2 linked regions of the Astyanax mexicanus genome follow. The protein of the gene in region 1 purifies or fractionates together with the protein of each later gene. This does not show direct contact. Links are inferred from orthologs where the notes say so. Each region holds a gene or a part of one and is shown in the gene's direction. Other genes may lie near its edges. The genes, in order: ofd1 and cep20.

Region 1 (13,095 bases):
GAAGTTTAGTTCAGTTTTCACATTGAACTACAGCTTTTAAAGTGAAAGGTTAAATCAGTTTTCTCACATTCTGCAAGTCTTTCTTTAACTGTTACCTGTAAACATCAGATCAATAAACATCATGATCAGCATCATACCCATAAACATAAGTCAAAGTGTATTTGTCACACACAGAGCCGGTTTCCCAGGAAGGGTTTAAGCCTAGTCTCTAGAGAATATATTTTCCTTTCAATGGAGAATGTCCAGACTAGGTGTAATCACAGTCTGGGAAACCAGCTTATAATGTTATACACAGAACTAGTTGTTAAATAAGATAAAAAACAAATAGAAATAGTTATAATTAGTGCTCAAAAGTAGCTTAAAAGTAAAGAAACGTTTCTTCGCTTATTTGCTGCACTGTGTAATAATATATACACCTTATATATCACTTAAAAAAGATGAGTTTCTTTGATTTTACGAAATTAAAAACCTCTGGAATATAATCAAGAGGAAGATGGATGATCACAAGCCATCAAACCACCAAACTGAACTGCTTGAATTTTTGCACCAGGAGTAAAGCAGCATAAAATTATCCAAAAGCAGTGTGTAAGACTGGTGGAGGAGGAGAACATGATGCCAAGATGTATAAAAAAACTGTGATTAAAGACCAGGGTTATTCCACCAAATATTCGAAGATTTCTGAGCTCTTAAAACTTTATGAATATGAATAAATATATATTTATTTTTCTGAACTCTTTCTTGAATCCTCAGTTCCCAGGTGTCTGAGAGGCAGCAGAGCAGCAGAGATCCACCACCACCACCACCACCATGTCTTCCAAGTCGTCTCTGCTGAAGGTGATCCTGCTGGGCGATGGCGGCGTGGGCAAAAGTTCGCTCATGAATCGCTACGTCACCAACAAATTCGACAGTCACCTTTTCCACACCATTGGCGTGGAGTTCCTCAATAAAGACCTGGAGGTGGACGGGCGCACGGTGACGCTGCAGATTTGGGACACGGCGGGGCAGGAGCGTTTCCGGAGTCTGCGAACGCCGTTCTACCGCGGGTCCGATTGCTGCCTGCTGACGTTTAGCGTCGACGATGGCCAGAGCTTCCGCAACCTGGCCAACTGGAAGAAGGAGTTTGTGTACTACGCCGACGTCAAGGACCCGGACACCTTCCCGTTCGTGGTGCTGGGAAACAAAGTGGACGTTAGCGAGCGGCAGGTGTCTCGAGAGGAGGCGCTGCAGTGGTGCCGCGACAACGGCGACTACGCGTACTACGAGACCAGCGCCAAAGACGCCACCAACGTAAGCGCTGCCTTCGAGGAGGCTGTGCGGAGAGTGCTGGCCACCGAGGACCGAGCCGAGCACCTCATCCCCACAGACACGGTCAACCTGCACAGGAAGCCGCGCACTGGCGCCCCCTGCTGTTGATGTTGATGAAATTAAATGGCGCCTCCTGCTGGAAAATAATAAATTTGCTCCTGCTGTTGACTTAAAAAACACCTCGACTAAACGAAAATAAAAACATAAACTAAACTAACGTGAGGCTGCTGGACAGAACAGAAGAGAAGAGAAGAGAAGAGTCTGAATAGAGTCTCTGAGGCCTCGTTCACTATAGACGTGCACTAAACACTGGGTTCGTACCACTGTAGACTTTTTAAAATGCTTACTCAGCTCAAGACTAGCTCAAGACTCAAGATGTTGGAGCAAAAAAAATAAATAAATGGACATAATCTCTCCTGTGCAGACTTTGATACATTAAGCACTATATATATATTCTAATATCGAGACTTGAGAGTGATGCAATACATTTTTATTTTATGAAAATTTAGCTTCCTGTAACGATTAATAATTATTAACGCAGGGGAAATGCACTTGTCAAACACTGTGGTGGAGTTGTTTCTAATCTATTAACATTTATAGGAGAGAGAGTGTAGAGTGTGCCAAGTGTCGACATGTATCAGTGTATCATGTAGATTTTATGGCTTAAATTAAAATGTTGAGAAAAGCAGAAGTAAAAAAACTAAAGGTAAGCACTTGTTTCTGGAGCGTAATCAAAAGCACTAAAATCTGTCATGGAATTGAAGCAGAATTAATCAATATTGTTGATCTGTGGTGATTTCTGTGTCTTTAAAAAAATAAAACATCACAACTAGGTTTGAACCTAATATTGATCTTTAAGAAAAGTATTGATATATTAAGAAAAGAATTAACACGTATTTAACAGTGAGATATGAAATGTTGCATGTGGTGAGCGGGAAATTAAAGTAGAAATAACAAGGCAGAGCTGAATTTGTGGTTTTCTTGTTTTGTTTTTTTTTCTTCTCATGCATTTTGTGCACACACTGGAATGGTTCCATAAATGCTGAATCAGAATATTGCTAAATATATAAATAAATATAAATAAAGTCCCCAACTTTGAAGTTGCACATTTCTCAGAGCAAATCTGAAAAGATAAATTTTATCTTGATTATACAGAGCAATGCAAATTATCATTCTGTTTAATGAATATTGATTTCTCTGCAAGTATATTTTCCTCAAGAAGCATGAAAACAAGTTTTGCATATCAAAGCATGCATGATTGTTTGACAAAGATGTTGAGGTGGTGAAAATGATGTACAGTGTGTTTATTTCAATGAACTGTTGAATTTAGTATGAGAGCTCAATGCCGTCCTCAAGTTTCGTCGCTATAACAAGTGGAAATCAATGTGGTTCAAGCATTTTATACCTCTTTTTACACAAGTTAAAATAGGTCTATGTTCTATACACAACATGTTCACGAAGTTATAACATAAAATCAATCTCATATTAAGATAAAGATCTCTCAGCTCTATTCTCGCCAGTTTCAGTCCCTTTCATTATGAGCCGTTTAAGGGCTCTGACACTTTTATAAATAAAGCTGTTGCTGGTTACGCCATGTATATGCTGAGCGCTTATCTCACCAGCATATTTTTTTTGCATTTGAAATGTTTATATGAGCAGTCGAGCCTCAAGTGGAGACAGAAATGCATGCAAAAAGTAAGTTTTGCATAATATGCTCCAGACTGATGGACAGAGTTTTTGGTTTATTTTCACACAGGGAAATATGCAAGCACATCTGTGATGCTCCTACTCTGAGGGCTGAATGCAATCAAACCCTCCTCAAAGCAATGATTTTGGAAGAAACACTAGGTGAGCAGGTGTACACTGACAGATTTTTATTAGGTGAATATGATCATACACACAAGCAGTCTGCTGATATTATAATATATTTAGTTAGAATATAAATGCATGTAATTTAATATGACTGTACAGACTGAAAACCACAATTCCTACAATTGACAAAGTGAGAAATGACTGATCACAGGATCTGTAAATACTAAACTCACAAACATAAAATCTGTACAATCACACAATTTTAAAGCAAAAACAAGTGAAAACAGAATAGATCCAGTTTAAGATCAGCTCAGGAGATGTTTCTTCCCCAGAAACTGAACTTTCCTGTCGAACGCCGTGGAGCGGATGGGCGTGTTCACCTCGTAAAAAGGGTTCATCGCAAACTATAAACAGAAAACAGGCAATTAAAGGACTTTTACTTACATTAATGAATTTACTACACAATACACAATCCTATATATTTACCTTGATATATAAATCATAAACGTCGTTGAAGAAGTTCTTGATTCCATCCTCCTGTCGAACATCGTGGAGCATGATGAACCTGATATGTGAACACACTGCTAAGGAAAAGAGCAGAATGTGTAGAATGACTGCAATCAAAATCTCAATCTTGAATTTTTCAATTTTTCCAACATTTTTTGCAAATTTTAAGCCATAAAAATGAAAATGTGAAAAAAATGTTTAATTTTTCCAATTTATATTTAATCTTGTGCATGTGTATGGGGTAAAAGATTGTGCCATGTTATTATATAACATTACATTTGGCAGAGTATGGTCAAGAGTATTGTTATCACAAAAATACCATAAAACATTGTGATATTATTTAAGGGCCATATCGCCCACCACTAGTGGTGATAATTCTGTGCTGAGAGCTTCTCTTCCGTGATAAATAGGGAAATTGGGGTCATTTTATCATAATTAAAGCTAATTTAAGTCTGTCTGAGATTATACTGCTGCAGCATTAATAAACCATTTCCACACAGTCAGGTACGATAAAAAGGATATGACCTGCAGTTACGAACGCAGAGACAATCCACTCGTTAAACTTGTCCACAGTCTTCAGGTACATGCTGTTGGACAGCCACATGTTTTCATCCACCAGGTCCAGGGCTGCGTGAGCAATGAACTGGTTCAGGTGTCGGTGATCATCCTTTAAAAAAGAGAAAGATATAGAGGATATAGAGGACATTTCTTCAGAGCACGTCATCACCTTCTGAACAGTGTGTGATGGATCTTCTTCAGTAAAAGCATGCTAAACTTGGTCTGACATATTTCTCTCTGCTTTTAGGAGACAAGTAGTATGAATATCCCTACAGTACAGCATATAGAATAGTACAGAAATGGAAAAATAATCCATCAATTATGACATCCAGCTCTATAGTATGTCTATTTCACTAACATAATTTTTATTGCAGTATATTTGTGATAATATACTGCCCAGCCCTATATAATAAAACACTGTGGATGCATTATGGTACCTTTGATTCTGTTTTTCCAGAAGGGAGAAACTCCATCTCAAACACAGGGTTGTCGTGATGACCCACCATGACGAAGTAGAAACTCCCCGACATCGTCTACCGTCTGTCCCGGTCTAGGTGATTAGACTGTGAAAGAAGAAATGTCATGATAATACACATTCAGTACTGTTACCTCAACCAATTACATTTGGGTGATGGTGATGTATGGGTTTAGGGGTGGGGCAGGAGGGAGAGATGATTGGATTGTTTTTTTTCCCCCCCTTCTGGATGGGATGCATTCAGGAGCATCATGGATCCCATCAAAACTCATTTTACCTTTGACTACTCTAAAGTATTTCCATATATAATGACCACCAATCTGTTTACTCTTTTTATATATAATATAGTTACATTTTAAATAAAGATATTAACTAGTTAATTAACTACAGTTTAATTTCCAGCCTTAAAACACAGAAGCAGCTTCAGAAGCTTGACTACGTTAAAATTTATTTGCAACTTAGGATGTCTGGAAATATTTATAAAATTGTATAAGGCTTTTTATATGGTTGGAATGTTTCATTACTTCAAATAAACAGACTTTAGCTATTAATGGAAAAAATATGATTTAGGTTTTAATGCCTCTTTAGATATAAAGCCAGTTTTAGTTAAATAATTCAGTGCTAAATAAGAATAAAGCGTCTAACAACACTCAGAGACTCAGACTCAGTAAGATATAAGCACCACTATAATTAATAAAATACGTTATACTGTTTACTCGTTGTAATATAGTTAAATTTAATGAAGATATTATGTAGTTTAACTTCCAGCCCACCTTAAAAAACAGAAGCGGCTCCAGAAGCTCGGCTGAGTCTCCTTAATAAAGAGATTAACTTCCTTTAATCACATCCAGAGGTTTATGAAACATGTGGAGTTAATCCGGGTAGAGATTATTAACTGATAAAGCGAATTATACCGATTATTTTATTTTTATTTTTAATGTTTGTGATATCCCTGTGTGTGTCGGTCGGTTCCTCTGCAGTCATGTGACTGAAACAGCCAATAGGAGGAGAGGGATTGAGTAAAGAGCTCTAACAGAGAGGAGACTTCACACTCTGAGAAAATCTTACCCGGTTAGTTTGACCACCAGAGAGCGCTCCCGAGTGAGTCTAAAATGAATGAGTTCATATGGATCAATAGAGCAAAAAATCAGATAAATATAAATATAAAAGGATTTTTATAGCGAAAAACTTACTTATTTTTTAACAATGAAGAATATCAGATTCTTCAGTACGAATTTTAAAGCTTTCAAATTTTAGTTATAAGCCTTTTAAACTGTAACTAGCATCAGATCACCTCAATCAGTTAACTGAAAAACATTTAAATATAGGTGGTTTTATTAGCTTTTATTTTTATTTTTATTGCAAAATTCCACTTTCTAACGTTCAATGAATATCGTGGCCAAGTAGTGAGACACTATTTTTAATTTGCGTCTTTAGCCGTTTAGCCCTATTCACCCCCATACATTTTGGACTCACTATTTGGGCGCCCTCTAGCGGTCTTCAGTATTTTGGGGATAACAGCGGAAATATAAAGTGGGCAGTCTCTCTATAAAACAGCTCTTGTATTAGGACAGATATACACATTAACCCGGATGTGAACGAGAAAGGCAAAATTAAGCCTTAATAACATTATTTAAAAAAATACTAAATAAAGCCTTAGTAAAGATTATTTAAAAATAAACAATAAAATAAAGCCTTAATAACGTTTATTTTAAAAAGACAAAAAAGTAAAGTGGGCGAAAAGGAATGAAATGAAATGAAAATAAATGAAATAAAACAGCAATAATATTCCTGACACTTACCCACACATTTTTAAGTATATATAAAATAGAATTAAATCTATACACTTTTTAAAATGTATTTATCATGGACAACAACAAAAATAAACTAAAATAAAATTAATTTTAATTAATTATTTCTTCAAAGAAACAACAAAAAAAGACACGTGAACTCGGAAGCAAAACTGTGTGGCGTCTTGCGTTGGATACGGTTGCAATGGGGGCGTCTCAAATGTAGTCCTCGTTCCCTACGTAGTTAGTGAACTCGGCATAGTAGCATATATTAGCACTACGGTAATAAAGTAAGTTATTTATGTAACTGACACAGAAGTATAGTATTTTTAACCATGGTTTACTATATAATAAATACTGTGTAGTAGGTTAGCTAAATAGTGAGCAAACTCATAGAAGGACCTTTGTAATACACATGTAGTTTAGGGCGTAGGGAACATGAGTCGGATTGAGATGGACCCAGCGGTATCCAAACATAGCAGCTGTAGTGACCGTAGTTAAACAGTTACTGGATTTGTGTTTGTTTTCAGTGATATTCGGTTGTTTTAATCGTTATTTTTAGCTTCTTTGGGGGTTCTTAAAATCCAGAATCTACCTAAAATGTGTTCACCAGCTGTTTTTAAGTGGAGTTTAAGTTTTTAGGGTTTAAAGTTCTGGTTTAAAGTAAATTTAATAGATAAATCAGTTAAAAATGTCTGCAGTGAATGAAGAGGGTCTTTCTCCAGAGGAGCTCAGGAAGAGGCTTTACCAGACCTTCAAAAACAAAGGACTTCTGGACACTTTAAAGGTTTTAAACTTTAAACACTAATATCACTAATATTCACTAAACAGCACCACTGTACACTGTGATAATCTAGCTACATTTAACGTTACTATTCTCACAATACAGTGATAACTTTAAAGACTTTTTAGCTTTAACTTAACAAAGAACAGTAATTTAAACATTACATAAAATACTTATAAATATTGAGCACATAATTATATAAATATTTAATGTTTATGAAAAAAAGGTTTTTAATATGTGCTACATTAACAGTGTTTAAAAAAACTAGCAGCACTATCAGCTTTACACGAACTTTTTACACAAAACTATACTTTTGTTAAAGATCACCATCACTTAATTTTTTTTTTTACAAAAAAGTGTATGTTTGTTCTTTTTTTCAGTTCAGTTCTGTTCTTTTTTATGTGTTCAGTGAGAGAAATCGAGCTTGTTTTTGGGTTTAGACAAGTGCATTAAAGTCAGGCTGAATATCTGATGTGGAAATATATACAGAGGACAGCACGCAAGTGATCAAATCTGTTTTATGTTTTTAACAACTGAATATAGATTTTTCCTAAGTTTGGTATCCCATTACTCCAGAATAATCCACTCAAGTTTGTATTAGTAGCTGACATTTTAATTCGGTTCCTGCTGGAACATCTGTTTAAATAAGATTTGTATTGTGCCTCATTGAGAAAACAGTCTATCTGGAAACATTTCTTGTAAATTGCTGTGGGTTGGATGGGTGGAAATGAACTGTGGCAGGCTGAATAGGTGGGACTAAACTGCTCTAAACTGATTAAAATCACAGAAACAGTTTATTTTGCACTTTTACGGTGGTTATCTGATGGTTCTGCAAAAATCCGATTTTCTGATTTCACCTGTTTCTCTTTTTGATTCAGACTCAGCTTCGGAACCAGCTGATCCAGGAGCTGCAGAGTCCGGGTGAACCGGTTCCTCGGGGGCTCTCAGCTAAAGGGGATTCAGTCTCAGTTCTGGCATCCAACAGTCTGGTCATCGATCACCTGCACAGGTGTGGATATGAATACACGCTGTCTGTGTTCTACCCAGAGTGCGGACTGAGCAAAGACAAGGTCAGACCAGTTTCTGTTTAACCCTGATGAGACACTGTAACCCTGTGTTAGTGTATTAGTATATCACAATACCTACATTTAAAACACTGTTATAGTATCAGTGCACGCCAAAACATTTTTACATTTTATTTGTAGGTGTTTTCAACAAGAGATCTTCTTCAGCTTTTAAAGATCAGTCCACAATCACCTCTCTACACGTCTGTGGTAATCACAACTTTATCATTTGGCAACCTGTAATGTAATGGCTTAAGATTATATGTTTAATTCATCTAATATATGTAATTTTTTTTTTTTTTTTTTGCACAGGTGTCAAATGTCCAGAGTGGACAGAAAGGTGAGTGGAGTCTACCTCCGGACATTTTTTAAATACATTTTAATTTTTGGTTTGAATTAAGCTTTTTTTATTCTGTTTTCAGACATGGTAGCTCAAATATTAACAAATATATATTTTTTATATTTGAGTTAAATGTCGTTTGTATTATACTACTGTATTAATAGTTAATGTAAACAAATTCACTGTGATTTTTGAAATGTTTTAAAAATAATTGAATCAAGAACTGAATCAGTTCCTGAAGAATAATATCTGAATTATTGTGAATTTGGAGATTTCTCAGCTCAGTACTCTTTAATCTGTGTTTTATGAAGTAAATGAATAATAAAGATTTTTTTTCTCTGCAGGTCTGTTGATGAATCTTCTCTCTGAGTTGATTGCACACCGCGCTCACCTGCAGCTCAGAGATGCTGATACTCAGACCTCCTCAACACCACCCGACTCCACACAGTCACTCGGTACGGTCATTTTATTCTGTTTACTACCACTGGATTAACCTCCTGAGACCCTAAACCTGACCCATGTCTTGTTTCTGTCTGAACTGGCTGTAGAAACATTTGACTGGGATTCCCACCATCTTTAAATTAGATCACAAAGTCAAACAGCAAAGGGGAGGAATATATTGGAAAATGAACTCCTTGGAAATGCATGAGTTCCAGCTGTTGCTGAACTGGAAATATCTCTGTAATAATCATGCATTTTCACATAATTCATTTTGAAATCTGCTCCTCTATCATAGCTATTCATTCTTGCTCGTTAAATCAAATTATTGTGACTTAATTTCAACGTAGTGGCACAAGTATAAATATATGTCATCTATCGTTACTATCCTAGTCCTGTAGAGCTCATATCTTTCAGCTGGAAAACTGAAATGAACTGCTACCAAGCATGATAATAAAATTAAAGGAGAAATCCGGTGTGAAATGGACATTTGTTGTAGTGAAACATAATAATGAGTATGAACTTTTGTTGCACAGCCCACCTCCATTCACATCCAGCATTCCAAAATACAGCACACTTAAATGCTAGTGATGGGGGCATAGCATAGGTAGCTTATTGTTAAAAACACTATTTACACACAGTAGATTTCTTTGCGTCTATCTCTAGCATTGTAAGCCTGGTGGGAGAAGCCCTGCTTTAGGCAGTGAATAGAGAGTGTGTGTGTAAAAACACTGTGTGTGTGTGTTTTATGGTAAAGTGGAGAAGCTGCAGGTGGTCGATGAGGAGTATGAAGTTCTGAGGCAGAAGGGGAACCGCTGGGCATCGGTGGAAGCGAAGCTCGCTGAGTTCAGGAAGGAGATGGAGGAGCAGGCGCGGGCGGAGCTTAAAGCAAAGGTACTGCATTCATCCGTCACCAGGTGCTGGTTACTGTGTGGTTGATGGGCAGTTGCTTGGTTAAGCAACGGCATAGCAACCACTTGGAACAGCTTAGTATCCATCCCGTACCCTGTAGTACCCTGCAGTAACCGTACACTGTAATGTAGGGCTGCACGATATTGGAATAAAATTACATCGCATTCGTTTTTGTTTTCTGCAATATATGGCAATATTACACAATGCAGGACCTGTGACAGCACCAGCCCCGCCCCACCAACGCGCTGTCTCACAACAGAGATCCAGATTGAGAGCCGAGTCAGAGTTTTAGAGTCAGCTAAGCACTCAAAACCTGAGGAAAACAGCAAAACAACAATAATCAAGCATTTAAATTACCTTTTTTAAAAGGTAAATAAGAGCGTTTGTTTTTCTGGGATTAAAAACGTAAATTCAGCTGTAACTGGAAATATCTGCCCCTCCCCCTCACGCTCCCCCTCGCCCTTTTTTCTCACTCAGAACATTGTGTATCTAATTCTCGTGTCAAGAATTAGTTTTTATTGACTTGGGTGACATCGCACGTCCAACAATGTGACTATTGCGCCTAATGTAATGTAGTGTAGTACAGCTACAGTAGCAGCTCTCCTCATGAGTGTGGTGTGGTGTGGTGTGGTGTGGTTGGTTCTCCAGTTGCAGCACTTCCAGGAGGTGGAGGTGTCCCGGGTGCGGATGGAGGAACAGGAGAGGAGTCGGAGAGAAGTCTCTGAGATCAGACATCGCCTGGAGAAGAACTACGAGCTGAAGGCTGAAGCGCTGATGAGCCGAGAGAAGAATGCTATAGAGCGTCTGCAGAAACAGCAGGAGGTATCAAACTCTTATACACCATATGCACAAAAGTCTTGAGAAACCTGTACATTCAAACATTGTTCTTCTGAAATTAAGGCTATAAAGTTCAGTACTTCATCCTGCGTTTGTTGTATTAACTGTTTGTACAGTTCAGGGAAGACATTGTACCAGATTTTGATTTTGATATTGCTCATATTGATATTGATCATCACTCCTTTATCACAGATGTATTGGATGGGGCACCATCATTGGAGAATCCGCAAAATAAACTGTATTAAATATCCCCCATCACTAATATTAAATGCGATATGGACTTCCTTAAAAGACAAGATCAGACAATCATGACTAGGTGCCGAATTGGACATACTGCTCTAACCCACCCCCACCTCCTGATTGGTGAACAGAGTCCAGCCTGCCAATTCTGTGATACTCTTTAAACTATTAAACACATCATAGTAGACTGCTTTGTACTTTTAACCACTAGAAACAACTTTTATATGGATTCAAGTATAAAAGAAAGAACTGTTTGAAAGGATTCCAGCAGCTAAAATACTTCATTTTCTGGAAGTCCTTAATATGTATATTGATATATATTGATTTAAATCGTTGATGCTTAAGTCACAAACATTATCAATGCCATAAAATAGCCAATATGTTGCTGATATGGCACAAAACATACACAAACACAATTCGACCTTCATAATGTTAAATAGGCATATTATATAGTTAGTACTGCTACGACTGCACTGAGAAATATACACTCTTGACACTGAGTTTCCTTGTTTGGTGTTTACACAAATAGCCAACAAAACCAGGATTTAATTGGAACTAAAGCACAGTCCACAATGAAGCACAGTAAGGTGCATGCATGCCTGAATACAGGTGGAGTGTTTACACTCATCAAAACAAACTGAATTAAACAAAAAAGCGTATTAGAGCCACACAAAACAAGTTCAGTGTAAAAATGTCCCAGCCTGGTTCTTTAGGTGTTTAGGAGTTGTGTTGTGTTGTGTTCAGATAGAGGAGAAGGAGGTGTATGCTCAGCGTCAGGCTCTGCTGAAGGAAATCGAGACCGTCCGCAACAGAGAGGCTGAACTGAGGCTCAGAACAGAGGCCTTTGAGAAGTGAGTACACTATTAAAAAGAGTGGGGAGTTCTTCAGGACATTCAGTGGGGTCTGAATAGAACAATACAAGTTAAATAACTGCTACATTAATAGGTTTCATCAATGGATTTTACGAGACTTTTATATGTACACACGCTTATAGGTACACACAATACTGGTTCTATTCTAGTGGTCTCATCATAAAATCATAATTTTGGTCCTTTTACTGATTTTGTCTTTGCAGTATTTGATGTTCTGTATCTCTTCTGTAGGACCTGTAAACTTCATGAGGAGAAAGTGAAGAGCACGGAGGAGCTCCTGAGGCGGAGGGAGCTCTCTGTAAAGACCCAGGAGGACACATATGACCAAAAGCTCAATAACGAGCTCAAGAAGTGAGATGCTCTGTTTTCTTTTGTAATGTTTTGTGTAGAACCACAAACTTTACTGCAGAACATGTGAAGAACCCTTTTTACTGTGTATTTTTATAAATGCACTTAATTTGTGAAAGTAAAGCGGGAAAAATCATTGTAAACAAATTTTTCAGCTTCTTGTAGCAACTCCAGGAAGGTCAGAAAAGTCTCAAACAGTAAAAATAGCCAAATCAGAGAAATGGATTTAGAAACTGAAGTGCTCTCTTCAGGGTTTTCAGATTGCTAAATTCAATCAAATCCTTTTCACAGCAATGATCCAACATCATCCAACACCAGTACCAGGTTTTCCTAAGTTCCTGAGTTTTGCGTTAAAGTTGTATCAGGTCATTCTGTTTGTTCTGTTTCTTATCCGTTCAGCAGATGGCGCTGTTTTCTAACTCTGTATTAAAGCTCTGATGAAATGTAGGTTTTAATTCTGATGAGTCCTCCTGCTGAAGCCTCTCTAATAAATAATACAGAGAGGAAAAGCCTGAAAATGCTTACATGCTGTTTGTGATGCTGGATCTGTGGAGATCCACAGTTTTCAGCAAGTTTTGGCTTCTCTTTTTAAATAACATGTTTTATTTATTAGATTATAAATAAATAAACAGTGCAGTAGAGATAAACACTGTTTATGTTACAAAGTGTTTTGTTGTATCTTCAATCCCAGAAACTAAACTGCACAAAAACCAACAGCATTTTAGCAGTTTAGCCCCACCGACATTCAGCCTACAGCAGTTTAACCCCACCCACATTCAGCCTACAGCAGTTTAGCCCCACCGACATTCAGCC
Region 2 (12,933 bases), on another chromosome or scaffold:
ATTGCTGATAGCCAGGGTCAGGACATTGCTAGCAAACACAGTTGCCAGTAATGCAATATTAATTTGCTGTTATTCAGTGTGTTATAGCAGCTCTTACAATCTGTTTATTGTGAAACTCAATTTGCGATAACAATATGGTTAATCGCACAGCTCTAATGAGTACCTGTCCATAACTTCATGTACACCTCTACACACTGCTACTGTATGGCTGCAGAGTGATGGTGTGTGTGAATGTGTGTGTGTACCTGTTCACAGTAGGGCAGAAGGTTGATGCTGAGGGGGAAGCTGTAGGTGCTCGTCTCTTTGTAACGCTCACATTTCTCAAAATCAAAACTGAACCGGAGCAAAGAAACAGTCAGGAATGGAGGGAGCTTCCTTAGCTTAGCAGCCTGTGCATACAAACACACACACACACACACACACACACACACACAATAGGTTCAACTCACAAAAACACTGTGAAACAACGCTCTGAAATCTAATAATCTTCCAATTTGCTTGTTATTACTTGATTGTTACATTTAGTTTTTATAATATATATGTCGAAAAACAAGCTGTATATATATATATCCAGTCTCACTGGCCTTGGAGGCGCACACAAGGCGTTCACAACGACTGCAGCGATACAAGTTATTCCCCTCAAACACTTCCTCTTCCACAAACATGCTCCACAGCGCCTCCTCCAGGCCACTCACACCCCGCACACACACAGTCAGATCAAGGAAGTCCTCCTAAGAGAGAACAGGACAAGGAGAGAGGAAATCAAGATCAGTAGCATTAAAATGTCATTAACTTTATAAAGCTCTATAATGTTCATATGAACCACACACTCATTCTGACACTGTAATACACTCAAAGACGTGTGCAAGGTGTTCTATTGAGATGTAATCCATGTTTACATGACCCATACACTAATTCTGACAGCCTGTAATACACTACAGGAAGCATAGGGGGTGCTCTTTAATTCTCTATATTGTTCATATGATCCATACACTCATTCTGACAGACTGTAATACACTACAGAAAGTATAAGGGATGCTCTATAATGCTCCATAATGTTTATATGATCCACACACCAAGCACCCACCTGTCTCTCGCTAACATTTTTGCACTCCTTGCAGGTGATCTGGTTGACCAGCGTTCCGTGGTAAAGTTCTTGGATCAGAGAGCTGCCGGACGTCCCAACCAGAGAAGATTCAAGAGCACTAAACAATATCCTGTTTAACTCCTGAACGTCATGCTGACTTGTTTCCTATAGAGAGAGAAAGAGAGAGAGAGAGAGATAGTGATTGACAGACAGAGGACAGAGTGTGAGATAGAGTGTTTGTGTGTGTGTACCTCATGGTTGGTCCAACCAAAGCTGTCAGTTAGGGCGGTTGTTGATGCTGTTTGTTCGTCCAAAAGTAGCAGCCGTGCGAACAGTCTTTGCAGCTCCAGTGGAATAACCCGCACCTACATACACACACATATACACAAACACACACAAAAAACACGCACACCTCAGCTTCTACAGCTCCACACACAAAACAAGTAAACTACACAGAAATTCACACACACCCCTGCATCTCCTTCGGCCTCCAACTCCGACCGCTCCAAGCTGAACAGTTGCTCTGTGAAAACACAGTCAATAAACACAGTTATTAACTTAAATTAAATATAAATCTCCTAATCTCTATCCATCTCGTCAAGCAGGGAACAGGTGTGACTGACCCAGACTTTGTGTCCACAGGGTCAAATTTTTTTTTTTTTTTTTTTTTTTTGCAATGCTGTGCAGTCCAGGACTATCCCCAATCCCTGTTCAAGACAGTGAAAGACTGTGGCCTACAATCAATTCATATGTAAATCTACAGAAAAATCAGATTACCACATCCAACCTTCGAGCTGTACAGAAATCAGAACGTGATATTCTTAATCTAAAATTAGTGATCAGTGATTCTTTTAATCCTACTGAACTGGAAATTTCAACTGAACTGCATTGACATAATAGTACAGATTTATAGTACAAATAGTATATAATGTAGTATAGTACTTATACTCAGAAACTGAAACATCATTTATGTGGAAATCCTGTTGGAAGTGAATTCACTCACCTCTGAACTCAGGTGTGAACAGCAGCGTCTGCAGCAGGGCATTCAGGTAGCAGGTACCACCCTGGTTCCGGATCCCACTCAGCTGAATGGGACCTCTAGGAGGCTGTGGCTCACGCTCTTTACCCCCACCAGTGTGCACACCTGCACCTGAGTCCCCCAGGCCCTCCTCATCCTGCTCAAACAGATCCCCAAACATCCTCCCCACTGGTTGCTCTGTGTTTGTCCTCTGCTATCTGTCCAGCTGTGGGACACTGACAGTGACGTTCCACCTGTGGTCCAGAACATCCACCTCACAGGACATCCTACTGAGGAGCACCAGTATCACTATTAACACCACAACATCACAGCCAATGTAAACAAACATATTTACACAAATCCCAGTTAAGATCCTAGCAGCAGTTAGTTAGTATTTCAGTATTTATAATATAAACACTGTGATTGAAATTGTAATCAGTTATTATCAATATTAATATTTATTGACTAGTAGGGCTATTACCTGATTAGCAATGTTACACTATATTATATGAAAAGTTTCATTAGTAATGTTATATTTATTGATATATGTATTGTTATTAGCTAACTATGAATGTTATTGATATCTGTATTGTTATTGTTATTGAATATCAGTGTTTTTTTTTCCTGTGTCGCGAGTTTAAACTCCAACAACGTCGAAATAAACTGTACCGCTTTAATAATAATCTAACTGTTTAAACATCTACACACTTATTAGACATGTGGGGCTGTTCTCACCCGGGTCCGCTCCGTTTTCAATTTTATGCCGAATTAAATCTGAGTGTCGCTGCTGTTCAGAGCGCCGCCATGTTTCTCCTGGAGGAAGCAGTGTTGCAATGCATTGTGGTAGTTGTAGTTTGACAAGCAGCTAGACCGCTAGGCTTTCGGAAAAGGAAAATACGGTTTTTAGATACGAAAACTTGAGTTTTTGACAGAAATACATACGCAAATACGTGTTAAACGTCCCCATAAAACTACCCAACATATTTACAGATCTTGGGAATTATTATTATTGTTCATGAAAAAATGCCTTGTTAAAAATGCCAGTTTATTCTTTTAGGATAAAAAAGAAACGTTTAAAATAGTAATAATAATTTCCCCCATTGACTTATATTGTGCGAATTTTACCTCAGCTATCTATTAGCATTCATCTGGGATACCTTTAAAAATATATAAAAATGAACTAGTTCAAAGGTCAGTTCATACTTATTTAAATGAACTAGGTCACTTTCATGGTTCTTTAAAACTAGTTAATGTTCATTGTGTTCTTTTCCCTTAATAAAAGGTTGCTCTTCTTTTTTAATAGAACACCTTTCTGCCTACTACTCTCAAAAAAAATATCACATACCACACTGATTTTTATACTGAAACTTATACTACTTTCACCAACACAGATCAATATTACATGTGCCAGTGCTGCAGATTTGCCATTTGTAAAGCTTTAAACTCCAGTTATTAGCATTTTAAACATGCTCTGGCAATAACTCTGGCATCAGCTCACACTTTACTGTCAGAAATCTGTCACCTAAAGGAAAATGAAACATACAGGTAAACTTCTTTGTTTTTTTGTTTTTTTTTTTTAGAAAAATGCATCACTTTACTGTCAAATATCCAAGGAATACTGGCCAAGTAGATATTTACTATATACAGCTCTGGAAAAAAAAAATTAAGAGACCACTTCAGTTTCTGAACCATTTTTTTCTGATATTTTATAGGTATGTGTTTGAGTAATATGAACATTGTGGTTTTATTCTACAAACTGTAGACAATGTTTCTCCCTAATTCTAAATACAAATATTTTCATTTACAGCATTTATTTGCAGAAAATGAGAAATGTCTAAAATAAGATGCAGAGCTTTCACACCTTAAATAATGCAAAGAAAACAAGTTCATAAAGTTTTAAGAGTTCAGAAATCAATATTTGGTGGAATAACTTGTTTTTAATCACACTTTTAATGCATCTGGGCATGTTCTTGACTAGTCTTCCCACTGCTTTTGCACTTCTGGTGCAAATATTTAAGCAGGTTATCTTAATCCCGATGAGAATCTTTGGGATGTGCTGAAGAAAGCTTTGTGCAGCCAACAGACACTACCATTACAAATGCAAGATCTTAGTAAAAAAAGTATGCAGCACTGGTAAAGTAACCCTCATTAGAAGAACACTTCTTACCCATTGATATATCTACTACAATGTAAGAGACAGTCTGAAATCAGGGACTCGAGATGTTTACGAATCACAGTTAACTTTATTGTCGTATCTCTCCTCCACTGCAGAGGAACTCAAACAATCACTTCAAATCTTGTCAAATAAATCTCTCACCGTTTCATATCCCGTTTCCTTCTGCTTGTCATAAGAATATAGATTTAATCATTTTAATATGAAGCACTGAAACATGCACCACAGCATTCAGACAGCAGACTGGACAACATCCACTGTTTCAATGGAAACCAAGAAACAGCATTTCAATCCTTTAGTCCAGAAAGGAGCAGAAATGCTGCACTGAGAGAAAGTCCACTGATGTAGGAGGTGTAATTTATCTTTAACATCCATCTGTCCATCCATCCATCAGTATCAGTGAGAGAGGACAGACACAGATAAAGTGCTCAGTGTGATGAAGGAGGTTATGGAGAAGTTTGTGTATGTGTTTGTGTATATGTGTGTGTGTGTGTGTGTGTGTGTGTGTGATAGAGATTAGAGGCCCAGGGATTTGCGGACTATCTGTTTGGCCAATCGGTTGAACTGCTCTCTGTCCTCTCGCCACATCTTGGAAGCATCCACATTTGCTCCACTCTCATCATTTGGTTCTGAAAAGTAAGAAAAAGGAATAGCACCATTACCAACACTTCCATTAGTCAGCACACAGTTAGCCAGAATCAGAGTCGGATTATGGAGAGCCTGCCAACTTCCCATCTCCCCAGTTATATTAAAAAATGACTGCGAAACACTAGAGGCAGCCTGCTAGTAATCCCTCAATTAATGGGGGTAAATGGAGCTAAACTACTGGGATTCAAACTAGTGTTCTCGCAATCATAGTGGTAGCGTCCCAATGTTGTAAAACAAATCAATTAGTAAGTGCGTGGTGTTTCAGGGACAGATTTGTTCACACTGTTTACATCGTTCCCAAATAAAGGTCAATTAAGTGTGTGTGTGCATACCTGCAAGCATGCTGACCACAGACAGAAGGATTTTTTCAACACTCTGTACCGGACTCCATCTCTCAGCGCTGCTTTCATACCCCATTGGGTCGTCTCCCGGAGCATGCAGAATAGAGATACACACTCGGCCATCTGGATAAACTACACACACAATCAAACAGAAATTGTTTTAGTGAGAACGGTATCCAGTTCTTGTTAAAAACAAACTTCTAATCAGAAGCTGGGTGGATCTTCAGACCTAAAGTATTCATTCAAATCATGTGTCAGTAAACTCTTGCTGGTACCTGTAAATAACACTCAATAAAGTGGTATTTACTATTTGAAACTCTTTATGTTTTCTGTATGTTATGGCAAGTCCTTAAATGAAGACTTAATATGAATGAATTTTGTTTAATATTTTATAGTGTATTTAGACCACTTCATGTCTTGCTTTGAGAAATAATACTGATCTCCATGTTTTGCAGGAAAATCTTCCCCAAAACACACAAAAGTTGTATTTAATAGTTAACCATCTGTCTATATAACCTTTCAATTAACACGAAAACACTGCATGTTTTTCTAATCAGTTAAAGAATAGAATGAGGGATAAACTTACTGTTGGGGTGGAACATATCACAGGTGAATTTCATCTTGGGAGGACTGAGAGGGTAGTCTGATGGAAAGCTAAGAACAGCCGGGAAAACACCTCCTTCAAAACACGTGTCCTCAGGACCCCTAAAAGAGACAAATGATAATAATAAACTCTCTGCTTGCACTTATTTTTACAGATATATACCTTACTCTCATCATTATCAACACCACTAAAGTAAAAGATAAACAGAGCTGATGATTCCTCTTTCTTCTAGGCCTTGTCAACACATTTCTGAATATTTTTAAAAACAAAAACATCACTTATAAAATCTCTCCACGAACGAAAAACCCACTCCAAAACATGCATATGAGCAGGGCAGCCGAGCAGGGGGAAATAATATCTTATGGAAAATCATAAAAGTCAAACAGCTTAATGTTCTGACCAAACACATGCAAATAAAATACCTTATATTTTTTTTAAAAGACTTTATATTGTCACTTTTTTTTTAAACGTTTTCTTTCACTCTGAGACAAAAAGGCTTGCATAAGCATGCTAACGCTGCATAAGGTGATAGAGACCTCAAAACACCACAAAGAAAAATTTAAACACAGTTTATTCCCAAATTATACATTGTTAGGATTATGAAGGATCAATGGACAATTGTATTGTTTACCCCAGTTATGTTTGGGTTTAGTTAATATATCGTCCCAAGAAAATGTTATTGTGACAGACATATAGGGAGCAAGGCAGCATTTGTGATTTAGCCAGACACATTTATTTTATGAAGTTTAATTTTCCCTTTTAAATGACAAAAAGGTTTAAAAAATCTCCACCCTAGAAAGCATTTTTAAATTACAAACAGCACATTATTGTAGATAAATGAGATCAAAACACATAAAAAACGTTCTTGTTAATATCTGTATATGTTCAGGGGCAAGAAAAAGCATATTGTCCAGAACTCAGAAAGTCAGAGTGGACTAAATAAGGGTGCAGCTCAATAAACATAGCCCGATTAAACCTAAAAGGGAGGGAAGGCAGCTCTATTACAGATTTGTTTATGTGCCATGCCGATGCATTAGTCTCCAGAACAGTCAGACTTTATTAGTATAGTGTATGTACTTCACTCCTTCTGCCCATGAATAAAGATGATGTCAAACAAGTCAATATTTAGTATCTGCAGTGGAGCCAGCCCCCCAACTGAACAAGCTAAAGCAGCATGAGAAAATAGACTCACATGATCAGCGCCTCCCATTCAAAGAAGTTCTCCTCATTTACAGGACCTGCAACACACACACAGAGACACACTTCAGCTACTGTTTGCTGGTTCTGTCCGTTCCTATATGTATGTAAAGCTGCAGGTGTCTGTTTACCTGCAACGATTCCCTCTGGAGGATTCAGGGTCAGCTCTGATGAAAGAACACGAACACACACACACACACACTTAAATATACAATCAGAGACAAACCCACATCATCTAATATCTAATATCATTATCAATAATATCAAGAAGATCATTTCAACAAGAAAATTATGAAATTATATATAGCTTTAATAACTAGCTACCTAACTTAACCTATCTATGTAGGTTTGCTATTTAGCTGGAATAATAATAAACAATGGCCAGCTAGCCAATAAAATAAAAACAGTTTCCACTAAAACGTGTTTCAGCTTAGTTTACGCTTCATTTAAGGTCTTATTAAACGTCCGGAAATATTTATTTCTAATATTAAACATTAACTCGGGTCAGTTTAACAATAATAATAATCAGCTCAAGCTGGCGTTAGCTAACCCTGCTAAAGCTAGTTAGTAACTGGGGGAGTAGCACTGCCAGCTAATGGCTCAGCGGCTAGTCGCTGCTAGCTCCCTGATAAAACCGCAACAGGCCGCGCTTATTTAACTCTCTACCGGGAATCAATAACGTGTTTCCTTACGTTTATATTCAGCCATTAATCTTTTTAGAGCAGTTCCTGCCATCACGGCCCGTTCTCTGTGTGCAGCCCAGTCCACTCACATCTGCAGTACCAGCGCTCACTCACAGGGGGCGCCACCCCATCACAGAGCACCACCGACATCTGCGCAGTCTGACTGACAAAGAGTACAAAATAAAAGCCCCAGAGCGTATCTTGCTTTACATTTTGTGCTCATCTCACTCAAATCTCACCTGCTTGCAATCATATTTTTTTTTTGCAGAAATATTATTTATTAATTAAACACAGACAATGTATTGTCTTAGTTTATCCAGAGCGCTAAAGTTGATTTCAGCATGCATGTAGGTTGCAAAAAATATAAATAGATAAAAACACATACATTAAGATCATTCAATTCATATAATAAACACCGGTTAACTGTTTAAAGTCACCTTTAAATTTCATAAGATAACCATTAGTCAGTGTCTAGAATCAGTCACAGCTCGCTGTTATGATCTTTAACACTACGATAACATGATTACTAGCCGTTTTATGCATCATTTTATGTTATTTTTAATGCATTATTTAATGTAAGACTTTTATTATGTAATTTAATAGAACGATATCGATGGTCGCAGCGCCGCCTGTAGCGCGTTCTGTCGGGCAGAGCAGTAACAACAGCGCTGCCTCCATGGCAACAGTGGCGGAGTTAAAGTCCGGTAAGTTTTGTTTAAATCTGGGTGAATAATCAGGCTATTAACGATTAATTAGATAGTGTAATGTATTGCACAGATGTATTTTAAGATCGAGCATTTGCACTTCGGTATCTGAAGGACAGCAGCAGCTTGGCTACTAGGAAACAAAACACCAAACTGGAGTTGAATGTTCCGTTCCACCTTAAATTTGGTAGCTGTAACAGTAGGAACGTCTCTGGCGCCAGATTAGAGCTACGGCGCCGTTTAAGGTGGAATTGAAAGTACGAATACACACAAACTTCTGTTTTGACATTTAAGCGTGTTTGTTGAGCTTTGTTTAATTATGTTCTGTCATGTGTTTCTGTTGCAGCTCTGCGGGAGGCACTGGAGGCGCGGGGTGTTTTGGGGCAGCTGAAGGCCCGGATCCGATCTGAAGTCTTTCGGGCACTGGATGACCAGAGTGAGGAGCGACCCCCCTTGACCCATGAGAACTTGCTGATTAATGAACTGATCCGTGAATACCTGGAGTTCAATAAGTACCGATACACGGCATCTGTTCTAATCGCTGGTGAGCTGAGGAGGGGTGCTGTACTCAATTTTATTTCTCGTTTGGTTAATAATAAAGGCTGGGTGATAAAACAGTAATTTCACGTCATGGTCTTTGCATCACAACACATGTTACAAGCAAGGTTATGTGGTACTTTATTTTCGAAAGGATTTGGGAAATTATGAAGATTCTTACTTCCTCTGCCCATTTCCCAGTCCTATTTCCACACCTCAAGTTGCCAGGTATGGAACACATTAGCAGGCAAACACAGTGTGCTGCTGCAGATGGGTTATCAAGGCAGTGAGAATTTGAGACAGGTAAAGTGTAAATGGTAACTGCATTTAGTCACAGTGGAGGACCAGACAGGCCTTAGATGTTTAATACATCAGTAGCAACCGCATGACCGAATTATATTGACTAACTTTAGCAACAAATAGAAACCTAATTTGCCATTGCAGATGTTTTTGTACTTGTTTTGCACTCTGATCGGCATCCTTAACCAGGCATCTGTCTGGGGCCTTTTTACACTTCTATATATTTAGCACATATTGTTCCTTTAACTGAGTATTTATTGTTGTAATATATCTGAGAAACTACCCCAGTGCAGTAATTAAAATCAGTAGATAACATGATCAGATCTCACAGCCTCAGGTCTGCAGTTTCATCACTCATAGTGTCAACATTAAAAAACATTTTAAAGTACTAAAAGTGTTGAGTGTGTTTCAGAGTCAGGTCAGCCTGAGGTTCCTCTGGACCGGCGGTTCTTGGCAAGTGAGCTGAATGTTGTAGAAGAGCCGAGTGCTGCAGCAGTGTAAGTATTCACACTCATTTACACAATGCACCTGTCCCCTTACTACAGAGCTCTCCACAGTTTTCATATTAAATTTAGTAAAATGTTCTGGGAATCATTTTGCCAGAGCCTTTGCAGGAGAATCAGGTTTTTAAATCCATCACTTTTTTACCGCTCATTTCTGGGTGTAAAACAGCTGTAATATTCCAGCTTCTGTGCAGTTCAGTCATACCTTTAGACTGATGCAGTTTAACTCCTTCAGCTTCTTCAGAACTTCTTTATATGACTGTGTTTCTGTTTGTTTTTCAGTCCTCTGCTATATAGCCTGCTCTCACACTTCCTCAGCAGTGCAGACAGCGGAAAACTTTTCCTGAGGAACCCTCCGAACCCCCAACAACACCCCCAACAAGCCAATAAGGGTGACGGAGAGAGTTTATAAGCTCTCAAGGGATCAGATCAGATTATTCAATTACTGTTTACATGTTAAAGTGCCCAAACAGCTCATTTTAATGTGTTTTTGCCTTGAGTACAAGTTAAATGTTGTGTGTAACAGGCAATTTAAGAGTGTGTGCAGGTAATGAGATGTTTATTAGTGTAAAATATTAATATTAATTCTCATGCATTGTCTGTTTTAATGCTGTTTTATATTTTCTCGTATTAAACCTTCTTTGTTGCACAGTAATATTGTCTCCGACTGTCTGTAATTCATGTGCTGACCACCGGGGGAGCACACAGCTGAAAGATTTTGGCTGTTCAAATGATTTACACAAATCCACATGAATTGATCATAATTCATTTTTTATTTTAATTTACTGCCTGGAAAGTTTTGATCCACGTTCCAAATGAGTCCTCTACAGGAGCTGTTTTAATCCTGTTGGGAACATTCTGTTCTTTTGTTTTATTTAGTACTGAAATTAGTCCTGTACTGACATTCGACCTCTAACCTGCTCTAATACACCAGCGGATCATGATCATTGAGTGGAAGTAGGAATCAACTGTTCTACAACATCTCCCAAACAAGCTTAAATCTGTGCAAATGTATTATCTTACTAATTTAATGTAAATAATGTCATTTAATTATCCCCCTTTAAATTGAAATTGAACACACACACATATATATATATATATATACACTCACTAGTATTTGATTATGAAGTAGGTATATATAAGTGTTAAAGCGGGGAAATACTCATATATGCGAAATATGTACTTAATCCTGTCATTTTCTGAGTGTGGTTACAAAGCACAATGCAATGCAAAACAGGGAGTAAGGAACTATTCAGATACTGGCTGTTTCTGTCAGTTTAGAAATGCTTTAAACTTTAAAATGATTCTGAGGCAGGAAGGCACCATATCAATTATGAATCAAAGTTTACTAATCTTGCCTTGCATTTTCTTGAACAAAATGTTAATAGTAAATGAGAACACGGCATTCATAATCATTTATTGAGCTGGCAATACCTTGGTAGATGTGCCACCCCTCAGCAACTAGCAGGATTCTCCAGCATACAGATGACTGCTCCCTTACGCCTGCAAATCATACAGTATATAATATACAATTATCTGAAATTGATACTTTATTTGTTATTTGTGCCTTTGCTTGTGCTCAGTAAAAATCAGTTAGCAGGTTTAGGAGAGTTACTTGAAAATGTACTGTAAGTTGTTATAGGCTACAGGTTACTGTTAAAAATGTAATGTAAATGTAAATGTCTTTTGACATTTCAATCTATTTATTTTCTTTTACACTAAGCTTAATATTCTCCACCTAAAGGGGTCATTATCACTCAACTAGCTCCTGTGTGTCATTAAAAACATGAAAAGAATAAAAACGAAAGCAAAACCACAACCTCCTGTAGTATGTGCTAACCTGAACCCCCCTAACACTGACCAGAAATAAGCTTCCCTGTTAACTGTGTAAAAATGCCCAAACTGCTGAAAATAGATCCTATTACATTGCCTGGTCAAAAACAGTCGCCACCAAAAAAAAGGTCACACACTCTAATATTTTGACCGCCATTAGCTTTGATTGCGGCACTCATTCGCTGTGGCATTGTTTTGATAAGCTTCTGAACTGTTTCAATCCAGCGTTGCATTTAGTTTACACCATTAAAGATGGTAGAGTTTGACCACTGCGCAAAGCCTTCTCCAGCACATCCCAAAGATTCTCAATGGGGTTAAGGTCTGGACTCTATGGTGAACAATCCATGTGTGAAAATGATGATCTCATGCTCCCTGAACCACTTTTTCACAATTCCAGCCCGATAAATCCTGACATTGTCATCTTGAAATATACTGATGGAATAACCTGGTCTATATTCAGTATATTCAGGTAGTCAGCTGACATCATTCTTTCAGCACATACTGTTGCTAAACCTATACTTGATCAACTGCAGCACCGCCAGATCATTTGCTTACTTAAATCCAAGTGCCGACTTTTTTTTTTGGTCAGGCAGTGTACATGGCAAACACTGCTTACATATTCTGAAATCAGAGACAGGTAGGTTCCGAAAATATATTTCATTTTAATTGCTAACACAGCTATCTGCTAACTGGTCTCATAAACTGAACACCAGAATAATGTCAGGAATCACAGCTGTGATTTATTTACATCACTGCCCTGACTTGTGAGACAGTGAGGCATTGAAAAAGCCGCTCAGTTTTGGACACAGCCTAGTATTAGTGCTGCGGTAATTAGCACTGTAGCATGACTGAAAGAGAGGGAATAGTGAAAGTGGTGTATGTTCATCAGTGTCAGTGAAGACATGAACACTAATAAAACTTGCGGTAATTAGTTGTTGTACAATGTGACATCCATTACAGGCAGGCCCAGTTTTCTTCTAAGGATTGACCAGGTGCTGTCATCCACTTCCCTTAATTGGTCTTGGTTCTGGCTGAGCGCAGTTAGTGTGTGTGTGTGTGTGTGTATTGCAGGTTTGTAAACATAGCACAGATATGTTTCTGCGCGGTCCTGTTAGTTGTAACAATGCCATTAGTGCTGCAGAAGCTGAACCATATTTAGTCACTTGGTCTTTCCTTTAAACACAGAATGCAGACGGGATTCCAGCCGGACCCCACTGACCTTATATGGCACACCACACGTCCAACAGTACATCTTCCTCTCTCTCTCTCTCTCTCTCTTTCTCCCTTACTACTCTACTCTTACTC

The links.
Region 2: the proteins of ofd1 (region 1) and cep20 purify together in Homo sapiens (co-immunoprecipitation; 3 studies listed by BioGRID and IntAct, with this or other methods). This does not show direct contact. The link is inferred for Astyanax mexicanus from reciprocal best matches to the Homo sapiens genes OFD1 and CEP20.

Annotation. Positions count from the first base shown.
Region 1 is NC_064418.1:1,335,041-1,348,135, reverse strand, and holds the start of ofd1 (oral-facial-digital syndrome 1 protein homolog), read left to right. Parts: upstream 1-6,956; 5' UTR 6,957-7,138; coding exon 7,139-7,234; intron 7,235-8,109; coding exon 8,110-8,301; intron 8,302-8,436; coding exon 8,437-8,505; intron 8,506-8,607; coding exon 8,608-8,635; intron 8,636-8,979; coding exon 8,980-9,090; intron 9,091-9,830; coding exon 9,831-9,967; intron 9,968-10,633; coding exon 10,634-10,807; intron 10,808-11,806; coding exon 11,807-11,913; intron 11,914-12,165; coding exon 12,166-12,285; intron 12,286-13,095. Other genes in the region: rab9a (ras-related protein Rab-9A), read left to right, coding at 808-1,413; trappc2 (trafficking protein particle complex subunit 2), read right to left, coding at 3,423-3,521, 3,604-3,698, 4,150-4,291, 4,620-4,712. UniProt on the Homo sapiens protein: Component of the centrioles controlling mother and daughter centrioles length. Recruits to the centriole IFT88 and centriole distal appendage-specific proteins including CEP164. Involved in the biogenesis of the cilium, a centriole-associated function.
Region 2 is NC_064412.1:25,898,983-25,911,915, forward strand, and holds cep20 (lisH domain-containing protein FOPNL), read left to right. Parts: upstream 1-8,335; 5' UTR 8,336-8,364; coding exon 8,365-8,455; intron 8,456-8,801; coding exon 8,802-8,999; intron 9,000-9,704; coding exon 9,705-9,789; intron 9,790-10,077; coding exon 10,078-10,207; 3' UTR 10,208-10,450; downstream 10,451-12,933. Other genes in the region: usp40 (ubiquitin carboxyl-terminal hydrolase 40), read right to left, coding at 246-389, 585-731, 1,088-1,252, 1,339-1,452, 1,558-1,610, 2,091-2,286; ube2g2 (ubiquitin-conjugating enzyme E2 G2), read right to left, coding at 4,795-4,907, 5,259-5,399, 5,854-5,972, 7,064-7,109, 7,200-7,235, 7,761-7,803. UniProt on the Homo sapiens protein: Involved in the biogenesis of cilia. Required for the recruitment of PLK1 to centrosomes and S phase progression.